Linked DNA regions of Saccharomyces cerevisiae S288C. The protein of the gene in region 1 purifies or fractionates together with the protein of each later gene. This does not show direct contact. Each region holds a gene or a part of one and is shown in the gene's direction. Other genes may lie near its edges.

Evidence for each region.
Region 2: the proteins of OSI1 (region 1) and OTU2 purify together in Saccharomyces cerevisiae (affinity purification with mass spectrometry, with the first as the bait; one large-scale study listed by BioGRID). This does not show direct contact.
Region 3: the proteins of OSI1 (region 1) and YLR419W purify together in Saccharomyces cerevisiae (affinity purification with mass spectrometry, with the first as the bait; one large-scale study listed by BioGRID). This does not show direct contact.

What each region holds. Positions count from the first base shown.
Region 1 is NC_001143.9:303,518-306,436, forward strand, and holds OSI1 (Osi1p), read left to right. Parts: upstream 1-1,596; coding exon 1,597-2,367; downstream 2,368-2,919. Other genes in the region: YKL070W (uncharacterized protein), read left to right, coding at 2,694-2,919.
Region 2 is NC_001140.6:76,877-80,078, reverse strand, and holds OTU2 (deubiquitinase OTU2), read left to right. Parts: upstream 1-1,725; coding exon 1,726-2,649; downstream 2,650-3,202. Other genes in the region: YHL012W (UTP--glucose-1-phosphate uridylyltransferase), read right to left, coding at 1-1,143; YLF2 (Ylf2p), read left to right, coding at 2,765-3,202.
Region 3 is NC_001144.5:956,624-963,288, forward strand, and holds YLR419W (RNA helicase), read left to right. Parts: upstream 1-1,804; coding exon 1,805-6,112; downstream 6,113-6,665. Other genes in the region: ESCRT-II subunit protein VPS36, read left to right, coding at 1-87; CDC73 (Cdc73p), read right to left, coding at 291-1,472. UniProt on the Saccharomyces cerevisiae protein: Probable ATP-binding RNA helicase.

The sequences.
Region 1 (2,919 bases):
AGTTTATTTTGACATTATGATCATAAACATGCGCAAATCCTAAGATCGTGAATTACCTCTACTGCGAGAATACAAATTATAACATATGACTAACGTTACACAACATTGTATTACATTTCTGACTAATTTGAAGTCTGGGAGTTAATTGTAGTAGCCTACTAAATAGCGCGGTTATTTATAAAGCTAACATTACCATGTTACATGACATGCTATTTCTAGCGAGGTAAAAGCATTGCTCCGGCTTTTCGAAGATAAGTATTCCTTCAATTTCCAAATGTCACAACATAAAATTTTGATTTGCGTTATCTCTCGTTCTCTTTAATCACTACAATAGCATCAACCAAGTCAATAAAACATGTTGTGAAGAGACTACGCAGACGTGACGGTCATCTAGCAACTCTCCATCTTTTGATGCAGCCATCCACAGTTTATCGTGAGTTATGGCAAAATCCAAAAATGTACCGTACCATTTCCTCTTTAATCCTGTATTCAATAAGCAAGTTCCCCATTTCAATTGATCTACACATCACTGCGCGTTAAAGCGCACCTAATTTATTCGGTAGGAAACAGAAATAGTCTGCAAAGTCATTCAAGCACCTTTCTTTACCAAATGAAAGGATTTAATAGTACCTATGAAACAATAGTTCGAACTTTTGCCATTTCCCGGTTTTTTTGGCCAGCTTGTATAAAAGTGCACCTTACCCTTATATTGGGCTCTTATTGAATGCCTTCCGAAGAACTGACTATTCAAAAAATAGAAACAAGTACGTCAATAAAAAATTTTGCAATTCTACGAATAATTATTCCTGTTTCTTTAACCTGGTAAAAAAAAGTACAAACACTTAAGCTTTTTGAAACAGCTTTATTTTGCTTCATTAAATAGCTAGGATAAGAAATCCCTCATCCGAAAGGTTTTGTATCTAACTACCCTAGAGAACATTTGTCCTGATCAGGTTCATTTGGAGTTTATATTTTTTAGAAGCTCAAAGTTTGTTGGACTCATTACCATGGAAGAAAAAAAGAAGATACTACGAAATATTGGTTTCTCAGGTTAAATAAGGGACACCATTTTCCTATTAGGCTAGTCGAGCTTAGTTCTTCTAATTTCTTCAGATCTTCTATAATTTCCTATCTTCTACCTGATGTGTGCATGATATATCTATGAGCTCCTGATATTGCTTGTTTTACTTTAGCTTGCATGACTTGCAATAATCTAATCATATATGTTCCCGATTAATATACTGTGCACAAATTGCAGGACATATAATTTTTCCGTGGATTATATCTTCGATTAACGTCCGCGGGTCTCATAAAAAGCAAACCAACTTCGCAATTCCCTAGAAATACCTCAATAGAAAGTTATTTGTAATGAGATTAGTAATGAGATTAGCAATGAGATTAGTAATGAGATTAGTAATGAGATTAGTAATGTGATTAGTAATGCATAGCGGTATAAATGGTAGTACTAATAAGTAAGATAGTATACCAGTTATAATAAATAGGCGGCGATGCTTCAAAACTAATTTTTGACGTTTTTAAGAATAAAGCCTTTACCAGTGGCATAAATCAGTAGAATTCTAAGCAAACAAAGTCGATATGAATACTTCATCAAGAATAACTTACTTTATCATCGGTGGTAGCCGTGGAATTGGTTTTAATTTGGTCAAAATTTTAAGCGCTTCTACGGGCAATACAGTTATAACCTCTATTCGTGGATCACCTTCATTACCCAAGAACAAACAAGTGGAAGATTTAGCAAAAATCAGGAAGAATATCCATATTGTCCAACTTGACCTTACAAAGGACGAAAGTATTGGCAATATTGCGGACGAGATCAAGAAAACGCCATTCTTCTTGGGTATTGATATTTTTATCGCATGTTCTGCAGTATCTGATTCTTATTACAAGGTCCTGGAAACTCCCAAATCAGTCTGGCTCAACCATTATAGCACAAACGCTCTGGGTCCGATACTAGCCCTTCAAAAAGTTTATCCACTGCTTCTTTTGAAAAAGACGAGGAAGATATTCTTTATCTCTAGTGTTGCAGGATCTATCAATGCGTTTGTACCACTTTCTGTTTCCGCTTATGGTCAATCGAAAGCTGCCTTGAATTATGCGGTAAAGACGCTCAGTTTTGAATTGAAACCGGAGGGTTTTACTGTCGTTGCTTTTCACCCAGGTATGGTATCTACTGATATGGGCCAATATGGCCTTGATCATTTTAAAGAGAAGAATATAGACATCAGCGGCGTAAATATTATCACACCAGAAGAAAGTGCCTCTGCGCTAATTGATGTCTTCCGAAAAATTTTACCAGAAGATAATGGAAAGTTCTTCAACTATGACGGCAGCGAAGGCGTCTTTTAGATAAGTGCAAATTTGGCTACTTATATACAACTCAGATACGGAATATACCTTTGTGTAATACACTTTTTTATTGGTAGGTGCTATATGATGTGACTTTGCTTTTGCCTCACGCCCCTTTAAGAAGGTATTTTGTGGCATCACTTTGTATGCTGATCTTTTAACGCTTAACCAGATTTGAAACTATCTCTATTATGTCCTCTGATTTTAATTAGGATGGTATATAACTGGTCCTAGAACCGAAGATTCTGCATATTCGCCGAAAACCATCCCTTAATATTATAGACATAAATTGCCAGTCTGAGAAGAATCCAAGAATCTATTTCATAATGTACATTCCTAAACATTTTGAGTCCATGGAACTCTCAAGGTACAAATTATCAAAAAAACCCCCGCTAGGAACACTATTCTCCTCTAAGGCTAGCAGGCAAGGTTTCTTCGGATGGAGAACTTCTTCCAATAAAGATGACCCCGATTTTGGTATGTGCGCATCACATATTCCATTTGTATTCGTGGAGTTCGATAATGGAGAGCATAAACTTATTGCACATTTAG
Region 2 (3,202 bases), on another chromosome or scaffold:
CTTACATGTTCTTAGGGGTAAAAATCTGTCTCTTGATACTTTCAATACTCGACTGTTCGGAAAGAAGGCAATACAATCGACCAACTGTGTCTTAAATTGAAGACACTCTATCTCTTCATTTTTGTGTGTTATTTTACTTTCACTAGAATGAATTGGCAAATTTAAACTATTAGACTCTATTAGCACCTTTAGCTTTTTCAAATCAATCCAAATGTTATTAGTGTTGACAATTCGACACGTGCTTGCACTTTCATTGGATAAGCAGTTGTAATAAACCGATCGTAGTTTACCTTTATATGTTGCCAACACTCCAGTGTTTGAAACATTTGCAGTCCTTTCAACTACTTCAACAAGATACTCGATTTTTTCATTTATGATGAAATTTAAAATGTTCAAATCTCCTGTAGCGCCCAAATTGTCAACATTTGAAACAAATAAAATCTCTTTTCCTTGAGCAATTAATTTGTCCAATTCTCCTGAAAAATACAAAGTGTCAGTTAGGTTACCAGTCCCGCAAGGATACCAAAAATCATTTTCATGAGAATTTATTTGTAAATCGATAGGTAATAATCTATCTTTATCAATTTGTGGAAAGCTTGACTGAACTACGGTTTTCCATCTCACTTTGCTAGAAGAATAATGCTCTTCAAGGAAGTTTGATACTTGAGATTCAGTTTCAAGCGAGGTCATAAATATAAGAGGAACGTCTGAATTATATCGTACATTCAAATTTTGCGTTTGTCGAACTATTACATCCAATGAAGACATCCCATTTTTTACTTCGAATAAAGGGCTTTCTTTACCAATGATTGGATTAGCCTTTCCGGTTAATTTTAAAATAGCTAACTTTGATAATAGTTTACCCTCTAACAAACCGTAATTTTTAATATCATCGAGTTCAACCACTTCATCAATTATCGGTAATCTAATTTTGTCACAAACTAGATCATGGGTGATTGAAGTATTTTCTAAGACATATCTTTGAAAAATGTGCAAAAATAGGCTAAACTCATAATTCTTGTCACGTATCGAAGGAAAATGTTTCTGCAAGGCCCTTATCATTTGTGACATAACAACATCCTTTCCAATACCTTCGAAAGTACCTTCAAACTCTATTTTATTTACTCCAGAGAAAACCGTCATTGATCTTGTATATACTATGTAGAACAGTGAAATATTTTTCCTTTTTTTTTTTATTATCAAGAATCACTTGTGTCAGTTATCGTTAAATTCCAGGTTACAAAAAGATTGTAAATGCCAGGGAAAATACAATTCAAAAAAGTTACAGTATAGTTATATTTAATTACTTAAATTTACTTTTTTTACTATAAGGTGCTATTCCTGCATTCTTTTTTTAATTAATCAGGACTTATAAGCTGATAGTACTTTCATTCTTTTTTTTTTGTGTGATAAGGCCATTGAACATTATGGAAGACTAACTACTTTTTCTTCAAGAAAATTGTGTGCTTCTACTCTCGTTCAATACAGGAAATTTTAATTCCAACAGAGTGGAAATTTATGGTTTTCTTACCACAATAAATTTCTCAATTGTTAAAATCTGAAAAGTTGGCAGCCCTGGCCCTGTCAAAGAAAGTATTATTATGCGTCGCGAAATTTCTTTTTCTTCACGCCTTGTTTTTAGTTTGGGCATCTCGAAAGCATCTAATACAAAATCCAACTAAAGCACAGCATTCAATCTAGTAGAGAGAACAAGAGATATTCATCATGACCGGCATGGAATCAGGAGAGAATTTGGAAAACATGGAAGATATTTTGGCGAGACATCGCAAGGAAAATAAAGATTTACAGAATAAGATAACGGGTATGAAAAAGCAGGCTACTAAATCCAAAAGGAAAGAAGTTAATTCGAAATGCCTAGATCTTCAAGATAAACTAAAGACTAAGCAAGAAAATGAAATAAGGGATTGGAAAATTGCAAATAATGAAGTGTTTGACGCAGAACAAGAAGATGAAGTGACTCCTGAAAAACTTTTAGAACAACTATCCATATCTCGAGATGAGAAAGAACAACAGAATGTTCCCGTTCAACAACAGCAACAAGGCCAGACAAAGAAGCGTCGCAATAGACAAAAGGAAAGATTGGCCAAAAGAGATGCAGCAATTGCTAAAATGAAAGAAGAGGCTGCTTTAGAAGCATCCAAACAACCGGACTTGAAAAAAATGGAGCAGGAGTCTATAGATCAGTTATGCGAGTTGAAGAAACTGAAACAATTCGATATACAACCCGATGGCCACTGTCTCTTTGCATCTATATTAGATCAGTTAAAATTACGCCATGATCCAAAAAAACTGGATCAAGACATGGATGTCATGAAGCTGAGATGGTTGAGTTGTAATTACGTACAGGAGCACAGGGATGATTTCATTCCATATTTGTTTGATGAAGAAACTATGAAGATGAAAGACATTGATGAGTATACGAAAGAGATGGAGCATACAGCTCAATGGGGTGGTGAAATTGAGATTTTGGCTCTCTCTCACGTTTTCGACTGCCCCATTAGCATTCTGATGAGTGGAAGACCTATTCAAGTGTACAATGAATGTGGGAAAAATCCTGAATTGAAGCTAGTTTACTATAAACACAGCTATGCATTAGGTGAGCATTATAATTCATTGCATGATTCTTGATTTTTCCCATCCGTATCTAATGAGATATGCTTATTTGTAAACCTTAATGCATCTATTTAATTGTATAGTTTGAAGCATATGGATATAAAAGAATAAAGAGAAGTAATAATCGGATATGAACATTGGTGGAGGAAAATTTTTACTTGGGAGGATATCGAATAATCCAACTTCAGGGATAGTAGGGCTTGCTAATGTTGGTAAATCGACTTTTTTCCAAGCAATAACAAACTCAAAATTGGGAAATCCTGCAAATTATCCATTCGCTACCATTGACGCAGAATGTGCCAAAGTCAATATACCTAGCGTGCCGCTCTCTAATTTATTGAGAATATATCAGAGTGCGAAATGCGTACCTGGAACACTCACAATATATGATATTGCTGGGCTCACCAGAGGCGCATCTCAAGGCCATGGTTTGGGTAACAAGTTCTTAAACGATATCAGACACGTAGAGGGGATATTTCAAGTGGTGAGAGGATTCTTAAAGGAAGACATCACCCATATAGAAGGTAATGTTGATCCTGTCAGAGATCTATCCGTGGTACAAGATGAA
Region 3 (6,665 bases), on another chromosome or scaffold:
TGTGTCGATGAAGGCGATTTACTGATAGACAAGCAACTGAGTGGGATTTACTACTATAAAAACTCTTATTGGCCCTCGCATATATAAGTAATAAATGCATGGTTTGATTACCTGCTCGTAATACTACATTCTCCCAAATAAATAGTTTACATATAAACGCGCGGCTAAACTTCACTTCGTTACTTGAAATGCCAATAATAACACATAACATAGAGTACAAAATCGGAATAGAAACGCCGACTGAAGAAACACTTTCAATGGCCGAAATACCATTCTTCCGTTTATCGTATTCAACGGTATCCTCTTGAAATAAGTTCCTTTTCTAAACTATGCCAGAAATAACGCACGACTTCCACATCCTTAAATCTTTTATTTTTGTCAAGTTCGACCTTTTCTACATTCCATTGCTGCACGTGTTGTGGTACAGAATCACCGGCAAAGTGGAAATAGTAGCCTTTGCAGCGTTGAAATAATTCCTGTGGCGAATTCCACTGATAGTTATTAAACTGCCACGTATGACCAGTAGTGAAGATAGCGACAACTCTGTCCCAATATTCTGGCTTAGTAAACATCCTAGTGTTATCGACTATAATAAATCTAATTGGTCTTGATATACGTTCGAAGTTTTTCTCTATGTTAACTAATCCGTTTGGCACTGACGGTAAGTTACGAGGATTCACGTATTTTGACTCCAGCAGGAACTGTTTTATATTTGCAACAGTTAAAATTGATGACGCAGCCGAAGGAATCAAAATAATTGGATCTTTGCGAGGGCCACCTGATGAACCATTTGTTTTGGAAATACGACCGTGCGCGCCCTTATGACCGGGAGGCAATTTAGATCCTCGTAAAGATCCTTTGATCGACTGTACTAATTTTAGTTCTGCATCTTTTATTAGATAACCAAAGTTGATCGGCTTAGCACCACGCAATGCAGAGTTGTGGTCCACCAATATACGTTCATGTTTCATTGTTTCCACCACAACTGGATCGGAAACTTCACTATCATTTTCAAGAGATGCTGAAGTGGTTGATTTTACAGTCGACAATTCACCAGCCAAAGTTTTATTTTCTATATCTACTTTATCGGATGTCTCGCCTTTCTGACCGGGTGCTTTCAGATATTGGGATGATTCCGTATTGCCAGACAACCAATTTATTAAATCAGTTCTTTGTAAAAATGAAACATTAGTCAATTGTTTATTCTGACAGTCTGCTAGATAGTCTGCGGCACTTGAGTCCTTATTCATCCAACAATGAACAATTATTCGTAACTGTACCAATGAACCATCAATCTCAATTTCCGTTTCTTCATTCAATGGAAAACTATCTTGGGTACTACCATCACTGGATAGAGTTTCTACCATGGTTGCTTTCGTAATATCATCAGTAGACTGTCCCTCATTATTTTTTAGAACCAGTTTATCGCCGTTCTTTAAGTGTTCTCTCAGTCTGTCTAATGAGTTCGCCATAATTTTTTCACCAGTTTCTTGCTCAAATTATTATTCTTTTAACGCCCCGAATTAAGAAACAGCCTGTTTTGGAAACGCAATTTGAAAAAGGGTGGAATATTCGTTGAAGTACTTGTTTTAAACCTGTCCAATCGAAATTTTCATCCTTATGCTTTGAGAACAATATTGCGTTGCCGGTTAACCGTCTCGGTGTTCGATGAGTTGAAAAATTATACACTAAAAAGATACATACTATTCAAAGTTGTAAAAGAGACTCTTAGCTAAGGGAAGTATTAACAATAATCATTCACTTTATACTTTACATCGCAATTGCTTTCATTAATTTTTGATAAATGGCCAAAAAAACGAAAAATAACTCAAAAAGTTCAACTCCAGTGAATGATGTACCAACAACTGCTGGCAAAAAGAAAGCAAAAGGAAAAAAGGGACAAGAACCAGAGCCAGAAGATGACAAAAGGGCCAAGCAACAAAGTAATAGAGCAAAAGTGACATCCACAGCAAGCTGGACAGGTAAATTGCCTCATACAATCTTACACGAAACATGTCAGAAACGAAAATGGAATAAGGTAGAGTATGATATGAAGAAAATCGGTGATAAAGGTTTCATTGCAATTGCAGTTTTGTCATTCACTGACCCAAAGACAAAAGAAACATTGACTGCAAGAATGAACGATCCAACCTATGACAAAGCTTCAGGAAAAGGCCTTGTAATTCCTCAAGAAACTCCAATTGAAGCTAGACACATGGCCTCCACTATTGCGCTATATCGCATTGCATACAACACCAACCTGCACATGATGCTTCCGCCAAACCATAGAAAAACATGGTATGCCCTCGACGATTTTCGAAAAGATAACCTGAAAACAGACGAAAAGCGTATAAACAAACTATTTGATCTTGATCCCTTCAAGACAATGGTGGAAGACAGAAAGCTCAAAGCCCAACGTGAAAAAGAACAAGTGGCCCAGAATAATCAAGCACAGAAAGAACAAGTTGCACGAACCATTTTATCTAGCCATGGTGGAATTTCTTCTTCTGGAAAGGACAGGCAAGAGAGAAAAGTAGCATCTCATAAAAACTCACATAATCCTTCATTAGTGCGGTTTCCAAAAAAGGTTTGGGAAAATTCTATATTTGTTGACCTTGATGAATCGTCTAGACAACTGATAGAAACTTCATTGAAAGAGAAAATTGATTGGCAAGCTAAAAAAATTAGCCATAAAAATGAGACAATTGCTGAAAATCGGGAAGATCTCAAGGCAAAATTATTAACTCTACAATTTAGACCAAAACACGTAGAGGAAGCCATGCTTTATAAAGATCCATTGTCTTTCTTATTGTTTAACTTACCGGAAGATGATTTACCACCATTTTTTCATAAAAAGAAAGGTGATACAAAAAACAAGGTTGAAATAACAAACCTACCGTTATCAACTAGAATGATCGTTGAGCGTTTAACAGAAATTGGTGTCTCTTCAGATGAAGCCTTATTGGCTTTACAACAAAACGATATGAATGAAAATGAAGCGGCCGGGTTCTTGACGAGGGAAATTTTACCAACTTTAAATAGCAATACGAATGAACCTGTATCAGAAACTGAATCTATAGAATGTTGGAACCAAGAGCTAGAGAGCCTAGAGAGCATTTATGAGGGCTGCGTGATGGACGCCAAGGAAGATTCACACTACACGCTCAATTTAATTGAAAAACTCAAAATAAAATTGAAAGTATATAGAACCAAAAATTATCCTGCATCATTACCTGGTATTGTAGTTTCAACCTTTGATAAAAATTACAAGCTACCTGATTATATTAAGAAACAAATATTAACCAGGTTACTGCATTATCTCCAGGAAGGAAATCTAATAGGCGATATGTTAGTATATCATATTTATGAATGGTTGAAAGAGAATATATCTAAGATAATTGACAACCCTGGCCCATTAATTCCAGATTCAGATTCGAAAGGTGCAATAAACAAAAGAAACATTTCAAACGGTAAGAGAAGTATAAATAATTCTAGTTCGAGAAAATTCACAAAAACCACCATTTCTGAAGACACGCTCTCTGTCCTAAGGGAAGAGTACACAAAAAGGATCAAAAGTTCTGAATACAAAAGTATGCAGTTAGTTAGAGAACAACTGCCTGCCTGGAAGAAGCAAAAGGTTATTATAGATATCATCAATAAAAACGAAGTTGTATTGATTACTGGTGAAACAGGTTCGGGTAAATCCACTCAGGTCGTTCAGTTTATACTAGATTTCTTACAGAAGGAAAAAGGAGATTTCGGTAAGACTAAAATCGTATGTACGCAACCCAGAAGAATCTCGGCTATTGGGCTTGCTGAACGTGTTTCTGATGAACGCTGTGTAACTTGTGGGGAAGAGGTAGGTTACGTAATAAGAGGTGTCAATAAAACCAAAGCTTCCACACGTATCAAGTTCATGACCACAGGTGTTCTTGTTAGGTTGTTACAGAATGCTAGAACTATGTTAGAAAACACAATTGTTGTTATTGATGAAGTTCATGAACGTTCTATTGATACTGACTTGATAGTGACATTGATGAAAAATCTCTTACATAGAGTTCGCGGCATGAAAATTGTTTTAATGAGTGCTACTGTTAACGTTGACTTGTTCAAAAAATTCTTTCCGGGGCTAGCAACATGTCACATAGAAGGACGCACTTTCCCCATCACTGATTACTTCTTGGAAGACATTCTTAGTGACCTTGACTTCAAGATCAAGAGAGAGAAGGCTTTGTCTTATGATGATGATAGCGTTGATGAAAGAAATAATGACGACCAATATTTGAAGCCGAGAGCAGATTCTAAGTTTTTTACATCTGGGCAAATCAATTATGATTTGCTTTGTCAAGTGGTTGAATATGTACATAAACGCCTGAAAGCTGCTAATGACAACGGATCTATTATCGTTTTTTTGCCTGGTGTGGGAGAGATTAATAAGTGCTGCAATTTGCTAGCTAATAAATCAAATGAAGCAGATTTTATGGTTCTACCCTTGCACTCCGCTCTAACTCCTGAAGACCAAAAAAGGGTGTTCAAAAAATATCATGGGAAAAGGAAAGTTGTTGTATCCACAAATATTGCTGAAACATCTATTACTATAGATGACTGTGTTGCAACTATTGACACAGGCCGTGCCAAATCGATGTTCTATAATCCAAAGGATAATACTACAAAACTAATTGAGTCGTTTATTTCAAAAGCTGAAGTTAAACAACGTAGAGGTCGTGCTGGTAGAGTACGTGAAGGTTTATCTTACAAATTATTTTCTAAAAATTTATACGAAAACGACATGATATCAATGCCAATTCCAGAAATCAAAAGAATCCCGTTGGAATCCCTTTATTTATCTGTTAAGGCTATGGGTATAAAGGACGTTAAAGCGTTTTTGAGCACAGCTTTGGATGCCCCTCCTTTACCAGCTCTGCAAAAGGCAGAAAGAATATTAACAACGATAGGACTTGTTGATGAGTCCGACAAGTCACTCACACAGCTAGGTCAATTTATTAGCCTGATGCCTGTCATGGATAGTAAGCATGGTAAATTACTAATATACGGCATTCTGTTTGGCTGTACGGACATTTCTGTTTTACTTGTCTCGATACTCGGTATTGGAGTTTTGCCTTTCATCGGAGGTTTTGAAAATAGGGAAAAGATAAAAAAACTGCTATGTAAATATGAAAGTCGTGGGGATTTATTTGCAGTATTGGAAATTGTCAGAGATTACTTCAAAATCAAAGATTCGAGCATCAAAAGGAAATATTTGAGAGACAATTTACTTTCCTATAATAAAATTAATGAAATTAAGTCATCAACAGCCCAATATTATTCTATTTTGAAAGATGTAGGCTTTCTACCAATGGACTATAAAGTTGGAAGCATTTCTGATTTGAATAGGAACGAGCGAAATTTTGATATCCTAAGGGCCATTCTCACGGGTGCGTTTTATCCACACATAGCCAGGGTGCAACTACCAGATGTAAAGTATCTATCAACAAGTTCCGGTGCTGTTGAAAAAGATCCTGAAGCCAAAATGATCAAATACTGGATTCGAAGCGAAGAGTATCAGGACAAATTAGAAGAATATAAGACGAAAATTTCGCAAGAGACGCAAAAGGTTGATTTGGAAGATTTACCGTTACCTGCTACTAGGGCATTCATTCATCCAAGTTCAGTCTTATTTTCAACCAATTCAGTAAACTTGGAAGACGCTAAGTTACTCTCTGAGGTGGATGGTCCAATATCCCGTCAATCCAAAATACCAACCGTTGTAAAATACCCATTTGTTTTGTTTACCACGTCTCAAGTTACTAATAAGTTGTATTTGAGGGACTTAACCCCAACTACTACATTATCATTACTATTATTCGGAGGGGCAATCTCTTATGACATTGGAGGTACTATTCATTCACCGGGCATCGTTGTCGACAACTGGCTCCCAATTAGAACCTGGTGTAAGAATGGTGTTTTAATCAAGGAACTGAGAACACAACTTGATGAGGCCATAAGGAAAAAGTTAGAAAGTCCCGATTATGCTAAAAAATCTCAAATTGATAATTCTGGTGCTGATAAAACTCTAAAAATTGTTGAAAAAATTATAGCTTCCGAACAATAGTAATCAGTTCCTACTGTAGTCCCTGTATAATAATTATCATCTTCATTTTCGAAAAGGAATTTTTTTAACATATAGAAGTGTCAAAGTATAAAACACTAACAAAAATCTAAGAGATTATTGCGACTGCGTGTTTTTCTCTTTGCTGAATCAGGGCTAGAATCCCGTAAACTACATAGCACATTGTCTTTGCCATATTTTAAAAATTTTGTGGCGCCGTCAAAATAAAAAAAAAATACTGAAGGATGCGAGGTTCGAACTCGCGCGGACAACCGTCCAACAGATCTTAAGTCTGCCGCCTTAGACCACTCGGCCAACCCTCCGTCGATAATACAACAACAAGGAAATACAGGATACGAACACCATCCAGTTTAACTTGATTAATCTTTACGCATGCATATTGCTACATCTTTTTTATTCTGCAATATACATCTGTTTATATCTCATTAATGTTGGTAAGCCTCTGAAAAATTTATCAAATACTAGTACAATTGTTTACCAACATCATTTTCGTTGCTAGAAAATTACTATACACCGTTAAGAAAAGACATAAATC